Linked DNA regions of Lepisosteus oculatus. Each later gene encodes a partner of the first gene's protein in a complex. Links are inferred from orthologs where the notes say so. Each region holds a gene or a part of one and is shown on either strand. Other genes may lie near its edges.

What was found. Proteins that work in one complex are often made in the same cells at the same time.
Region 2: rptor (region 1) and mapkap1 share a complex: the UniProt entries of both Homo sapiens proteins name them as parts of the mechanistic target of rapamycin complex. The link is inferred for Lepisosteus oculatus from reciprocal best matches to the Homo sapiens genes RPTOR and MAPKAP1.

The regions. Positions count from the first base shown.
Region 1 is NC_090704.1:45,061,924-45,069,168, reverse strand, and holds the start of rptor (regulatory-associated protein of mTOR), read right to left. Parts: upstream 3,025-7,245; 5' UTR 2,582-3,024; intron 1,675-2,581; 5' UTR 1,668-1,674; coding exon 1,500-1,667; intron 1-1,499. UniProt on the Homo sapiens protein: Component of the mechanistic target of rapamycin complex 1 (mTORC1), an evolutionarily conserved central nutrient sensor that stimulates anabolic reactions and macromolecule biosynthesis to promote cellular biomass generation and growth.
Region 2 is NC_090719.1:1,111,215-1,118,391, reverse strand, and holds the start of mapkap1 (target of rapamycin complex 2 subunit MAPKAP1), read right to left. Parts: upstream 3,008-7,177; 5' UTR 2,806-3,007; intron 2,401-2,805; 5' UTR 1,959-2,400; intron 1-1,958. UniProt on the Homo sapiens protein: Component of the mechanistic target of rapamycin complex 2 (mTORC2), which transduces signals from growth factors to pathways involved in proliferation, cytoskeletal organization, lipogenesis and anabolic output.

The DNA.
Region 1 (7,245 bases):
CAAGGATGCTGTGTAGTAAAAAAACAAGGTTAATAAATGACTTCAATACAAACAGGATGAATCATGTTTTAAAAGAAAAAAACACTTGAATCTGATTTCACTTATCACACAAGGCAGAGCCCAGTTTGGCTTGCAAAGGTTATCTGCTTGTAACCGATTTTCTAAGCCTGCTGAGTGATTTGTTTGAATGTAACTAAAAAACTTAAAGATCCACATCTGGTCAGTGGTGCCACTGCCATGGTTATTCTGTTATTGCTGGTTGTTTTGGAGAATTATTTGGATTTTTTTGAAAGTTAGATAACAAATGTTACATTTAATATTTAATCTGAAAAGGTTTAAAAGATCACCCTGTCATTCTAGATAAAAAGAACCCCAGCCCTTCAACGGGTAAACAACCAGTGGTGCAGACTGAGCCTGCCTAGCTCTCAAATCCCAGCTCAAAGCTGTACACCACAGCTCTCCTTACAGTGAACGGAACACTGGCGACTCAATTTAAGCAGTCTCAGCTTTATCCGACCTGCTCTGGAAAATAAAAAATACTCTTAAAAATGCTTTATTCTCTGAAAAATTAACCAAGCACACCTACAAGAGGTAGTTAGTGAGCCTATACAGTCATTTTACTTGTATTTACTTTTATTTAGCATTTTTATACTTATATTTAATATTCTGAATTACCATAAGAGGTTTTTTTTCCATAAAGGTTTAGGGTAAAACCTGACAGTATGCGTATTTGACTAGACGCTACTCAAAATCCTTAACCCTACAGTAAGTTAAGAGTAAACTGTAAAGGACACATCACAAAGTAACCAACTCTCCCATATAAAAAAAAAAGAAACGTGCGCAAGAAGAGTGGCCAATTCACAGAGCAGTAGACATGCAAGAAAATGTGCAACGCTGATTAAAAACCAACAGGTATAAATCACGTGCATGGGACAGCCTCATGCAAAGACCCAATTCCACCTCACAACTGCTCGACACAACCTTCTTTCTCCACAGGTACACACAATTGTTTATGAGCATGCGCACGGGCCTTAAAAACCCACTTGCTCCGATCTCCCACAACTGAAACACACCTCTCATGCCTCAGAACGAAAACTGAATGCCTCCCAGCGCAAGAAACAGCAGTAATGCCCAGAAAACAAGGACACGTATCCGATTTGCTGCCATTAAAAGAGTACGTCTGTCTGCACTTGTAGAATGCAGATGACGACATATTTCGGTGCTGTGCTTTCAGGTCAAAAGGGACAGGGAACGAAAAATTCTTGGTGCCTACCCCTAGATTTCAAACAGCTCGAATGTGCTCACTAACATGGGAGTGCACAAGACTAGAAGCAGTACCTTCAAATCTCACTCACAACACAGTCATGTCGAGTTGCTGGGCTGAACGCAAGCAGGAAGCAGACGGGTCACTGCTTTGGACAAGACGCTCGTCAGCCCTGTGAGCGTTTGGCATTCCCGCCACGGCGGCGGCGATCGCGAAGGCAGGCGCGCGCGCTCACCCTGTCCTTCATCCTCCAGCTCTGGGCCAGCGCCTTGGAGCCCTCGATCTTCTCGCAGTGCCGCTTCTTCATGAAGGCCAGCGGCAGGTTCCAGTCCGTCATGTCGGCTTCCTCCTCCTCCCCGAGGCCCACGGCGGGAGAGTGAAGCAGCTCCGAGTCCATTCTCATCAGGGCCCTGCAAAGACCAGCGGCCGCCTCAGAGCACAACCCCATCACAGCATCGAGACCGCAGCCGGTCAGCGAATCAGTAGATCCACTCTTGTCTACTAGAACAGCCACTAGTTATGGACGCAGAGGAGGCTGATAAAGACCCAGGTGAACTCCTGACCTGGAGCCTGAGAGAACCATGAAGGAAAGCTTTTCTGCCTGCCAGACAAGTGATCACTGGCAAGACCCACCTTGGGTTGCAGCTTTATTTTGCATCCCTGGTCAGTTATGATGACTCTCAAAAGTGACACAACTATCCATGAAGGTAAAGGCTCTCATTTGCACCAGTAAGTACTGTTTAGCTTGACCAGAGCTGGGCTGGAAGGAAACCCCACAGACACGGGTGTCCCTCCATGACCAGGACCGGACAGCCCTGAGAGTCTTAAAGGATGTGTGTGTGTTGTGCACGGTGGAGATCAGACAATGTCACTGGGTCAACAAATACACAACGCGGAATCGGCTGCGGTTGTGTACCGACATGCGTGGAATGTCGTGATCGGCTTCATCGCCACGCAAGTATCACTACCTGAACAGCCAGCCACCCGTTCGGGCTTCAGTTCAGTGAAGGAAGTACACATGATCACCCCCCCCTCCCCCAAACACACAAACACACGCGTACAATTAAGAATGTGTAACGATCTGATAGGGGAAGGGAGATATTCGTAGTCTTTAAAAACTACAGCAACAATACTTATTTCTACCGGTCTTACCACCTAACACTACCGCGCGCACCAAGATCCGAAATAAACACAACTAAGCAAGATTGTCATTTCCTTCTTGTAAAACAATAAAACAGACACATGAGAGAAATCTGCCAGTAAGGAAAACAAGAAGCCCTTTAAATGGGGATGATCTCGTTCGCAGATGACACGGACCTTATCTCCCCGCAATCCCTCACACGGGAAAGGGAAAATTAGGCGTCCTTCTCCCAAAACAGAGGCAGAGCCGAAAGGCAAAAATCCCGCATCAAATTCCTCTGCAAACTCAACAGGTTTGGCGAGGTGTCTCTGCTGCCGTGTCCCAGGCCCCCGCTCTCCGTCCCCAGGCAGTATTTTCGAGGGCTCCTTTCGTCCACTCCTCGCTAGGGGCTGAAAGAGAGGCCCATTCTCGCACGGACTCGCCGCCTGAGCCTCGCCAAGGTCTGACCGGCTCCAACCAGGGACGTCACAGCCGAATATGCTGCCTCGTACTGCCGTTTATATCCCCGTCGGCGCTTCCTCTCGCTGTTGATACAGCACTGAGCCTGAATTCGCGTCTGTTTCTCCAGAGAGACACTATCTCAGCACAAACACAAGGGCGCCGCCATGTTCGGCTTGACCCAGCATGCACAGCGGTCGAAAGGGGAGGGGCTGTTGCGTGGGAGTCATTGCGCGCCCCATGTCTGTCGGTCTGGCGTTTTCAGTATGTACTATAGATTAAGCATTTTCTTAATAGCACATTTCATCATACCGAAGAAGCCCAAAGCACTGTACATACAGGATGGGACCCACCTCATTCACCATTTAGGTGCAGCACTTCAGAGCCAACTGTGGAAGCACAGGGCAGACGACCGAATGCCTGTCCAGCGCTGGGCAAAATTAAAGATGCCAGTTAACACAGCCAACTTGTCTTCAGAAACTGAAGAGGGACATGGGATAAGAGCTCTGTGAACAGAGGAGAACATGCAGACTCCTCTCAGTCCAGAATTGATCCCAGTGCCTGCGTTGAATCTCTCAAAACTAAAATCGCCTGGTGGATGGGGAATGAAATCCATGTGACACAACGTGTTTCTGCACTGAGCTCATTCAGCTTGGTGCCACACACATTTCCTTCCCCTCGCGTACTTCCTGGCAGCCCTGACCAGCTGGGGAAAGAAAACGCATGAGAAAGAAACCGCTGAAACAAACCCCAAGTGCCGACAGCACAAGTGAATCCACCTGAAGCTCCAGCTTGTCCGTTTTGCAGCTGTCCCATGGTTTCGCTAAACTCGTCAAACATTCCCTCTGGTCTGTCACAGCAGCCCCATGTCCAAATCGTAGTTTAGGAGTCCTCCCCGTGCTTTGTCACTACTACTAGTAATAATAATTCCTTACATTTATATAGTGCTTTTCTCCACTCCAAGCACTCTACAGGTAATGGGGACTCCCCTCCACCAGTGTGCAGCCCCACCTGGATGATGCGACAGTGGCCATAGTGCGCCAGTACTCTCACAACACACCAGCTCTTAGTGGGGATCAGCGAAGCCAGTTCATAGATGGGCATTATTGGTAGGGAACACCCCTAACACGCAAGGGTAAAACTCTTTTTGAGAAATGCACTGGTATTCTTAATAACCCTGGAGAATCAGAACTTCAGTTTTATGTCTGGATGGTGCCTTTACTACACTATAGTATCCCCATCACTATCCTGGAACATTTGGACCCCACACTGGCTGCAGGGTGAGCACCCCCTACTGGTCCCACTAACACCTCTTCCAGCAGCAGCCTTAGCTTTCCCAGGACGTCTCCCCTCCAGGTACTGACCAGGCTCACACTTGCTGAGCTTCCATGGACTGCAAGCTATGAGCTGCAGGGTGATACAGCTGCTGGTTGTAAGTCTGCTCTGATACAGCACAGTGAAGCTGAACACAGGACTCTCTTAAGGCTCCTTTGTTTTATTTTGTTCTGCCCGCTGAGTTGCTCGGTGTGCCCCTCTCTGGCTCTTCCTGTCATGTGACCAGAGCACAGGAGGGTGAAGTGCCCTCAGGAAAGAGCCCCACAGCTCTTCCATTCCCTACCCACACCTGTGCAGAATCCCGCAGGGACAGCTGCACTGTGCCAGAGTAGGGAACAATAGTGGCACTAAGTCAGTGATCGGTATGCAGAGCACGGCCGCAGGGCCTAAAAAGTAAGTCAAGTCTCTCGTAGTCTTGTAGCTGCAGTTATTCACTGCAAATCTGTATTATGTCAAGTCCGAAATTATCCTACCCAAACTCCCCAAATCACGTCGTCTGAACGTGACGTTACAAAGAAAGTGAGAGGAAGGGCTTTTGTTTGAATAAGGGGAGATCATTCGATTTAAATGGCATGAACAGGATAACCACTGACTCACACACAGCCACAAACAGGATTCCTGCTACTACAGACACCTCAAGCAGAAAAAGATCTGTATAAAATGAATTGCTTGCACTGACATTAGTCTTGCATTAGTCTCAAAGACTAATAGGAAAAAAAAATCTCTCATTTTAATAACATCAGAACATAAGAAAGGTTACAAAGCACAGTAGACCATCTAGCCTGTTAGGTTGTTAAACAGGTAATTGATCCCAGAATTTCCCTAAATAAGCCAGGGTTTTGGCTTCAGTATCCTGGTTGGGAAGCTTGTTCCACACTTCCACAGCTCTTTGGCTAAAGGGTTCAGACTCCGGCAATCCTAGTTCAGCTATCTCCTGCCTGCAGAAACCGTAAGTTGGAAAGCAATGGATGCAAAATCTTATACTACAGAATTCATTTCTAAAAGATCTTAGGATCAACATTTGCACAGAAAGTTCCCATGAAACTTCTTCCTCGAATCTCACCAGCACACCTCGCCCACACGCACACCCACACTGTGGAGCTGTCAAAATCCTGATTGACTAATCACCCCGCAGCTCAAGCAGGGCCTTATGGCCAATCATGCAGTCGGGTGTGTGAGAAGTGTGTCAGAACCTCCATTCGCCCTTCGTCCTCCCGGACAAGGGGAGGAATGGATCCCACATTTAAAGAGCGATCCCCCTGAAAAAAGTCTGACATCTCTAATCTTAGATCCGAATAATAATATGAGTCTACCCCATGCAAGCATCAAATATATTTTGGAAAGGAATAATTTAATTGCAATTCAAGAAAGGCATGCTCCTTCTAAGGGTTTTACTGGGGCAAGATTGCATGACATTTGCTGTAGTCCAATGGGTTTACCATCATCATACCATTCTTTGCTGTTGTCTCCACAATAATTGCTCCCAAGGGAAACCATGGTGAGAAAAAGCCATACGCTGTCGTATGGACCATCCACCTCAGGAATGCTGACAGATGTTGTACGTCCATTAACAGGAGCAGGAGGGCGGATGGGCTGCTGTTTACTGTAAGAAAACACTGGGAAAAGCCAAAAGGGCAACAGAAGCACCAAGCGTGAGCAAATATTGACAGTTAGATGAGAAAAAGCCACTCAATCTTCTTCCACTCGGATGAAGGGGATTCGGGAAGCTGCATGGCTTTTAGTAACGGGACCAGACGTCAGTGGCCATTCAATGTGCTGGAGATAAGGAAGGAAGTCAAGGGAGCAGAGGCGAGGGGGACCGCAGGCCTCCAGCGCCTCTGACCTGGAGCACCACGCGCAGCTACACGGACGCCTGCATGAGCCGCACTGTGAGCAGAGCAGGGTCTCCTTCCAGAGAGTCCCTGTAATCCTGACGAGTGCTGCCAGCAGCACAACCTGTTTAGGGGGTCGTGCGTTTGGCAACAGCGAGCACAAGAGGCTGCATCAAGATTTGCGTCAGCAAAAGCATCAAGACTGAAAAAAGTGAAAGCAACAAGCCTAAAATGGGGTGTCCTTCTTGAGCTCATACAACGCATTCAAGAGCTTTTGGAGGAAGCCTTCTTCTAAAAGGCACACAAGTACTCACATTTCACTAAATGGCCTGCAACAAATCTTTTGAGGAGAGACATCATGTTCCTGCATCAGCTCACCAGACCGGAGCTGAAGTCAGTGTGTGCAGCGTTAAGTGGACTGACAGAAGTGGTCCCTCCCTCGATGGGATGCTAGTCAATGGCTAGGCTGACAGCTGTACTCATGCCAAATCTCAAGAGTACAACCACAGTACCCACAGCGCGGACACCAGCCCACAGCCTTCCAGCTAAGTGCCCACAGCCCACACTGCTAGCCGAGTCTAACAAAGACAAAACTCAGCCAGCAGAGCGCAAAGTGTGAAAGAGACGCCAAGAACACAAGACAAGCGAAAAAATAAAGAAATGGATCACATTCACCGTACAACCAGACTCTGGCCATCCATCTGGGGTCTCTAGACGAGGACTCGAGCCCTGAGCTGGGGCTAATTGTTCCAGCTCACAGTGACTGAATGAGTGGGAACAATCTGGCAGCTGCTCCAGCTATGCACCGGGCCGCAGATGAAAACTTTAAGTGGGGAGCCCGCGTCTCCTCCGAGCCTGATTGACACAGGACTAGCAATTCAGCAAAGTCAACAGACGAGGGAATGGGGGCGGTGGGGTTAGAGACCTGGGGCTTCAGTGGGAAAATTAAAACACAAAGGAAGAAAAGTTAAAAACTTCAACTCAAAAAAGCATACTGTGCTGATTGACTCCCAGCAACAGACCTAGAAGGTTACCACACATCACACAGGATATGAGAGTTTACTGCAAGTAAACTGTAATCAAGGCAGTTTAGAATGCAGGCAAGGGCACCGACATCATTCTGAGAGTGACATGACATCATTCCGAGAGTGACATCACATCATTCCGAGAGTGACATCATATCATTCCGAGAGTGCAACCAAGCAAACAGAGGGATGGTGAGGCAGAAAACAATG
Region 2 (7,177 bases), on another chromosome or scaffold:
GAAAGCCGAACCCTCGGAGCTCCAGACGACTCTGCGTCACCCGCACACGCGTGGGCAGCTCGGCGGGGCCAGAGAGACGTGTCCCCTCCTCCGGCCGGGACACAGAATTATCCCGCACGCCGGGAGTACCAGACCCCCGATCGACCGCAGGGGCTGTGTCCTGGGGCACAGCTGGGCACGCCGCCCGCTGGACCTCTGCTTCCGGGCACGCCGAGGGGAAGCTGCTGCGACCGCAGACTCAGCGGACGCCCGCCGGCACGCTCTCCGAGAGCCGCGTCCAATATTCTCAGTGTCGCGCTCCGAGTTCTTCCCAGTGAATCCGTATGCCTCCGGTCCAAACAAGAGCCACTCCGCTCGTTCCACACAATTACAACACCTCCCCAGGCCTGGTCAGCCCCCAGGGGCACTGCTCCACAACAAGGCCCAGGACAGCCCCCATCTGGGGAGTCCTGCTAACACACCGGTAATGACAGCCTGGAACAGGACCAGCACATAAAAGTTTAACCAAGACGAACCAGCAGTGTAGGGAGCAACAGGCTTCACCTTTTCCAGTGCAACCTGGAGACAGGAATATAATTCTGCTGTTTGTTTTCACCCTCATTTTCAGCCTGACCATTAAAAACGCCTTACGGCTAGCCAACACCGGGTGTGGGATATCTTTATTCTCCGTAAACAGCAGGGCCGCACTGTGACGAGGAATCAGTGTGTCTCAGCTATGAACAGCAGGGCGGCTCCGTGCTGAGTGAATCGGTGTCTCAGCTCTGAACAGCAGGGGGGCGCTGTGCTGAGTGAATCGGTGTCTCAGTGTGAACAGCAGGGCGGCTCTGTGCTGAGTGAATCGGTGTCTCAGCTCTGAACAGCAGGGCGGCGCTGTGCTGAGTGAATCGGTGTCTCAGTGCGAACAGCAGGGCGGCTCTGTGCTGAGTGAATCGGTGTCTCAGTGCGAACAGCAGGGCGGCTCTGTGCTGAGTGAATCGGTGTCTCAGTGCGAACAGCAGGGCGGCTCTGTGCTGAGTGAATCGGTGTCTCAGTGTGAACAGCAGGGCGGCGCTGTGCTGAGTGAATCGGTGTCTCAGTGCGAACAGCAGGGCGGCTCTGTGCTGAGTGAATCGGTGTCTCAGTGCGAACAGCAGGGCGGCGCTGTGCTGAGGAATCAATGCGCTGGGGTCCATCATCCCTCTGCAGTTTCAAGACTTCAAATGTAAAAGGCTTGGAGAGGGGAATGGGGGCACTGAGCAACTCTGCAAAAAATTATAGCCCAGCTCAAGACGTGAGAGAACATCTATCCATCCATCTCCTGACTGCCTCTCCCATTACAGGGTTGTGGCAGAGCCAGAGCCTACCCTGGCAAACAACGGGCAGCAGGAGGGACTCCCTGCAGAGGGGCCCACACAGACACACACACCCTCGCGCCAGGCCCGGCTTCCCCAGAAACCAGTTAACCCGCCGGCCGGTCTCCGGACTGTGGGAGGAAACCCACACGGACATGCGGACAGCACCCCAGGCCTGGAATCGAAACCGGAGCCCCAGCGAGGCAGCAAAAACACAAGCACGGCCACAGGCCAGGCTCTCCAACTCCGACAGCGGCGAGACGTACTGCCAGCACGTCTTCCCAGCTTCCTGAACTTCCAGAGCAGCGCGCAAGACAAATTACGCAGATGAACACCTTCTCCGCACTGGCCTTCAGCGACTGGCCCCTGTACTCCTGGAAGGACACAGCATCACAGGACCCCCTCTTGCATTGCACGCAATCGTGTTCCCCACAGTGGTCCTCTACATTCAGCTGCCGGATGCCAGGTATGAGCTGAAATAAGGACTGCAAAGTCCCCAAACACTGGATTGTCTTTCTGAAGGAAACGGAGGAGCTTTCCCAATCTAAAGAAGACTTACTGCAATACAAAAGGTGTGTGTGTGTGTGTGTGTGTTTCCCTGGAGGCAGGTAACACAGGGTCACTCACTCAGTAAGGAGAGCACGCAGAGCCAGGTGTCCGAGTCCACCTCCTCGCACCCGGGACCAGCTCACTCATCAATCAGCAGTCTCTCGCTAAAACGGGGCTTCTCACTCTTTCACGGCGTTAGGAAGCTGCACGCTATTATTTTGTTGTTGTTGTTGTTTTTGTATTGCGGACATAGGGTGTTGTCATGGATGAATGACTTCGGCACTTCTCCGGAGCGACAGCGCAGGCTGGGAGCGGGCTCTCCCGTGTTTTTTGTGGGGGGAGTGGAGGTGGGACCCCCCCTCCCAGGTCAACAGGTCACGGGAGCTGCACCGCGCCGGACACAAGGGAGTCGACCAAAGAAAAACAAACAGCAGAAGCGCCCGTTGGAGGGACGGGTGCCGGCTGGTAACTTATGGGAGTCCGAGTCTCAGCACCGGGGCCGAGACCGCCGGAGCACAGGCTGTGGTAAAGAGGAAACAAATGATAATCATGCAATAAAACACACACGGCCGTGTCAGGCCCTCCCCCGGTGGTGAACGGGTCCGGCAGGAGACCAGGGCAAGGCAACCGAGTGAAGTCCCGCACTCTCCCGGGTCGCCGGTCTCGGACAGCAGGCTGACACCCCCACAGGCGGCAGCGGTCTCCGCCAGCCCCTGGACACAGGTCACACCCGAGGAACAGAGACACACTCGCTCGTCCCGGGGGCCGACACGGACGTGTGGTGCAAAACCGCCCCCGTTTCCCGACAGAGCCCCTATATTTACTACCGTCGCCGTGTGGACAGCGCACAGCGGAGAGATGGTCCTGTAGGCCTTGCCCGCGACAGAAACGGGGTTACATCTTAATAACATTGATTTCAACGTACCGTAACGCATGCCTTTTCCAAGAGAGGGAGAGATAGCAGGGAGACGCGGTATCAGCTTCGCATATCCCCGGCTAGAAACGGTCTGTTTTTACCACTGTAACAGTTCTGCTGCCAGCAGGTTTAATAAACTCCATGAAAACCTATTTCCTCTATAGACTCCATCTGCAGTTCTCACTGGTTTACCTTGACAGCGGAAGTGGAAGGGCTCTGCCCGTCGAGCCAAATGGAAAGCGTCAGAGGCGCTCGTTGACGTTGGAGCCGGCCAATGGGAGGCGAAGAAGGAATGATTGGCACCGGCGTGAGCGAACGGCAGGCCAGCGTAGCGCCCGTGGAAGGCGGGAGCGGGGGCGGAACTTGGCGAGCCCCGAAGCATAGCGCTGAGGGGGCGGGGCTAGTGTGAGGAATGACACTTAATTGATGAAAAAGTGTTTTTTTTCCCCTGCAGGGTTGCTGGTCAGTATAGTACCAGCCCCACAGACAGGGCGCAAACCTCCTCTTCCTGCTCATCATTAACATTATTATTAATAGAAACAGAATAATAGTTATTGGCATTTTTTATGACCATATTTATATTTTGACAAATAAACAACGAGGGGGAGCAAATATCTTCTCGATAAATTCTGGTCCGATTACTTTGACACTGCAATGTTTTCGAAGATCTGGGGTGGGAAGAAAACTGCAGGCCTTTTTCTGCAGTCATCAGAGCAAAGTGGAGCAACATCCTCATCGTATTCAGATCGTTCTGCAGCTGGAGGCCTTGTCAACAGGGTGTCAGGTGACATGAGCCTGGTGACAGCTAACTGCTCACAGGGTGTGTGAGATGAGTAGGAAAACGTGGAATTGTTTGATTTTGTTTAAGCTACATCACATTTCAATCCATCCACCTAGGAACACATAAAAATATAAAACGACAAAATAACTGCAGTACTGGGCGGCACGGCGCTGGGGCCCTGGGTTCATTCTGGACCCTGGGGTCTGTCTGTGTGGAGTCTGTATGTTCTCCCCGTGTTCAGGGGGTTTCCTCCAGGTGCCCCGGTTTCCTCCCACAGTCCTAAGACATCCTCTTTTTACCCCCTTTATTTTAAACATGGCATCCACAGCCACTGACCAGAGAGGAAAGAAAAGCAAACCACACATCTTGTCAAAAAGAGGGTACCAAAGACATACTGGTCGGTTAATCACCTTTTGCTGGAAATCGGAGTGTGTGTGTTTGTGTGTGCCCTGCGATGGACTGGCACCCCGTGCAGAGTGTGTCCTGCCTTGTGCCTGTTGGATGCTGGGATACATTCAGGCTTCCCTGAGACCCTGTGCTGGATAAAGCAGTTGGAAAACAGTAGGATGGATAAAATCCGGTATTTTAAAGCATGCACAACATTCGAAGACTAAAGTTATTACTCTCCATATATGTTATTTATATGAAATACATATTCAGTGTGATAAATGAAGAACTCCATCCTTCTTATCAAACCACAGCAGCACACTGTTCTCATCTGATGTTTTTCATCTCAGATTGAAACCACTTCACTTTTGGAAACACTCATGAAGGTAAGAAAAGGACATGAAATGTAACAGCACAAAAAAAAAACACAAGGAAACTATTTTAAAGAACTGGGAATCGTCATTAGAGGTAGATCACAGCTGTTATCAAACGCATTATATATGTATACACCATATATTTATTCCTGTAGAAAAACTAGTTCGTCCCAGAGACCGTTTGTTTTTTTTTAAACAATTTGATTCTGGGCACTTTAGATAGGATCATTAGCTGGATTCATCTCTAGAAAGAATATGATTGTTATAATTACTCCATGATATAAAATTGAAAGTTTATATATTTGTAAAATATGCTTGCAACCAAAAAGACGTAACATTGTAACTGGTGTCATAAAACATATTGAATCACGTCAACGTCACTGGCCTGGTTATGTGCATCGCAACTCATGAGTTCACTCTTCAGCCCCTCCTTTTATTTTCCCTGGTGCTCGTCCCCTGTGGCACGGCCCGGCTTCCAAAACCGTTAACCACCGGAGCAAAGCGCACACAGTCGTAAAAAAAAAAATTAAAAAAGGGGGTTGTCTCAATTGCCAATGAACTAAAAATCCTAAAATAATCACTGGCTTAAATGCATAAAATCCCACGGAGGTCTTAAAACCAGCAATGGCATCGAGATCTTAAAGCCTTTAGGCCACAGAGGAGGGAGAGGAGGAGGAAGGTGTTGCATAGGAAGTGCCTTGTGCCGAGAGGTGTCTAGAAGTGGCTGGGAGCAGGCCTGCAGTCTAGCGCAATGAAGAATCATGCACTGCACCAGAGGACAGCAGCTCTCGCAGTACCTATGAGCCCTCCTTGACAGGTATGCAGTGCGACTTGACAGCTCAGTATTTCAATGATAAATGCAGTAGTCCTGGGACTCCCATCCGCTGAACTCAAGAGTGTGCTGAGCTGATACTTCAAGGTCAAGTGAATAAGAAGGAGCGAAACCACACAGCTCGCTAAATCACTGCCTTTCCCTTCTGCTTCCTTGCAATTGCAACAGTTGGAACAGCTGGCAGAATACTTGTTTTGCTGTACAGCAGCGCTGCTCCGTTTCTGCCATCTTCCCCAGCCCGGCTAAGATTTTTATTGCGTCTGAGCGACCTGTGTAGCAGTGGGGCGAGCACCCCACGCCGCCCCCGGAAGAGGCTGTGTTTGCTTTGAGTAAACCGCCTCATTTTCACAAAAAGGGGTGCTGCACAGAGCCCTCATAATCTCAAGGAAAAAAAAAATTAACACTGTGATTTAAAAAAAAATGTCAATTGATGCCTAATCTGGAAGAAGGCTGATGCAAAACAGGGGCTTGTTTCATATTACAGTGAAGTAAACAGATCATTATTATAACCAATATTGCTCGTATTATTTATATTGAATTCAATGACTCATCCCTCAGCCTTTACTGAAAAAGCATGCAGGGCATGAAGCCACAACGAAAGGGTTAAAGGACACATCAGCTGACTGGAACACTTGAGCACAGCTTTTAGCAACATTATTCCTCAACTAGAGCTCACAGAGGAACTAATGGCTATATCGTGAGAATACTGTTTTCATGACTAAATGGCTTTAGTGTGGCCAGTGTGAGTTATTTGCCCTTTGAAAAAAAAAAGATGCTAATGGCTCTTTGGAGGTAAAGACTTTCTGACTGCCCCTTTGTCTTCATAATTAAAAGCCCTTTTAGAAGATGGCAATGCTAGAAACGTTTGCTTTTCAAAACAGCGAGAGTGATGATGGATTGCTTAAATTGCTCTCTCCTGATAAAGATTCTGAAATGTGCACAAAGGAGGAAGCAATTTAATTTAAAAAATGTACAACGCTTTATACCAGTTAATGCACTTTGGAGCATTTTATGTATTGACATCCTATGTTTTGTTCAGCAAACACTAAGCGCCAAGTGTCTTCTGGCAACAGAGATCAACTTCACATGACTAAGTTCTGCACTGTGTACGCTTTGAGCTTCATAGCACAGGGCATTCATGATGCCTTAACAATTTGTTCACCCTGAGGATTATGAGCATCTAAAAATAAACGATCTTGTGCAAGGATTAGAAGCTAATAAGGTAAAATATTTGGGGAAGAAGACACATGATGAGTTGCCCAGGGTACCAGTGTACCTTAGTGATTAGCTTACACCCCCTCACACCGATCAGAACCGTGCACTGCTGAGGGTTTAACCATAACTGTGGAAAAAAGGAGAGGCCACTGCCGAAATCAAATTCTTCTGAGTTGCTGGTTTAAGGCCGTTTTTCTGGATGAACAGCTTGGGGACGGATTTAAAATGACATGCTTTTTACAAACACCAGGAAAAATCAAAGGCTCTTCTATCAGCAAATCTTTTTTTTTTCCTTCTAAAGTCCTCACTCTTCTGTCATTAGGGAACAGGGCTCAATTAAAGAGCCCAACCGGGAAATTTAATTTAGGCAGAATAAAGCCTAATAGAAATACTGCACAACCGTGGACATAACCAATTTATCTATACAGTAAGAACTCCATATTAAGTGTCATGAAATTGCATTAAAAGGAATTGATCGCACTGCTTTGTTTCTTTGTCAGTGCCTGTACTGTACAGTGGCTTCCTTTGATCTGAAATTTCTTCCTCGTTATACATATATTTTTAAATGTATTTTCATGTGTTGCTTTTTATTTTTCACTGTGAAATGCAGCATTCTTAAATCACCAGTGAAACTAGTGCAGCGTCTTTTTTTTTAATTCCTCTGGTAATCTCGGTTGCCAGCCTCATTAAAAGTATAAGGCGCTGAATGCAATATTAAGTGGCTTTGCTTTTCCCCAGTGCTGCTCGCCCCCATACCTTAGCTCTGAAATTTTAAATTGTTTTACTCCGCTT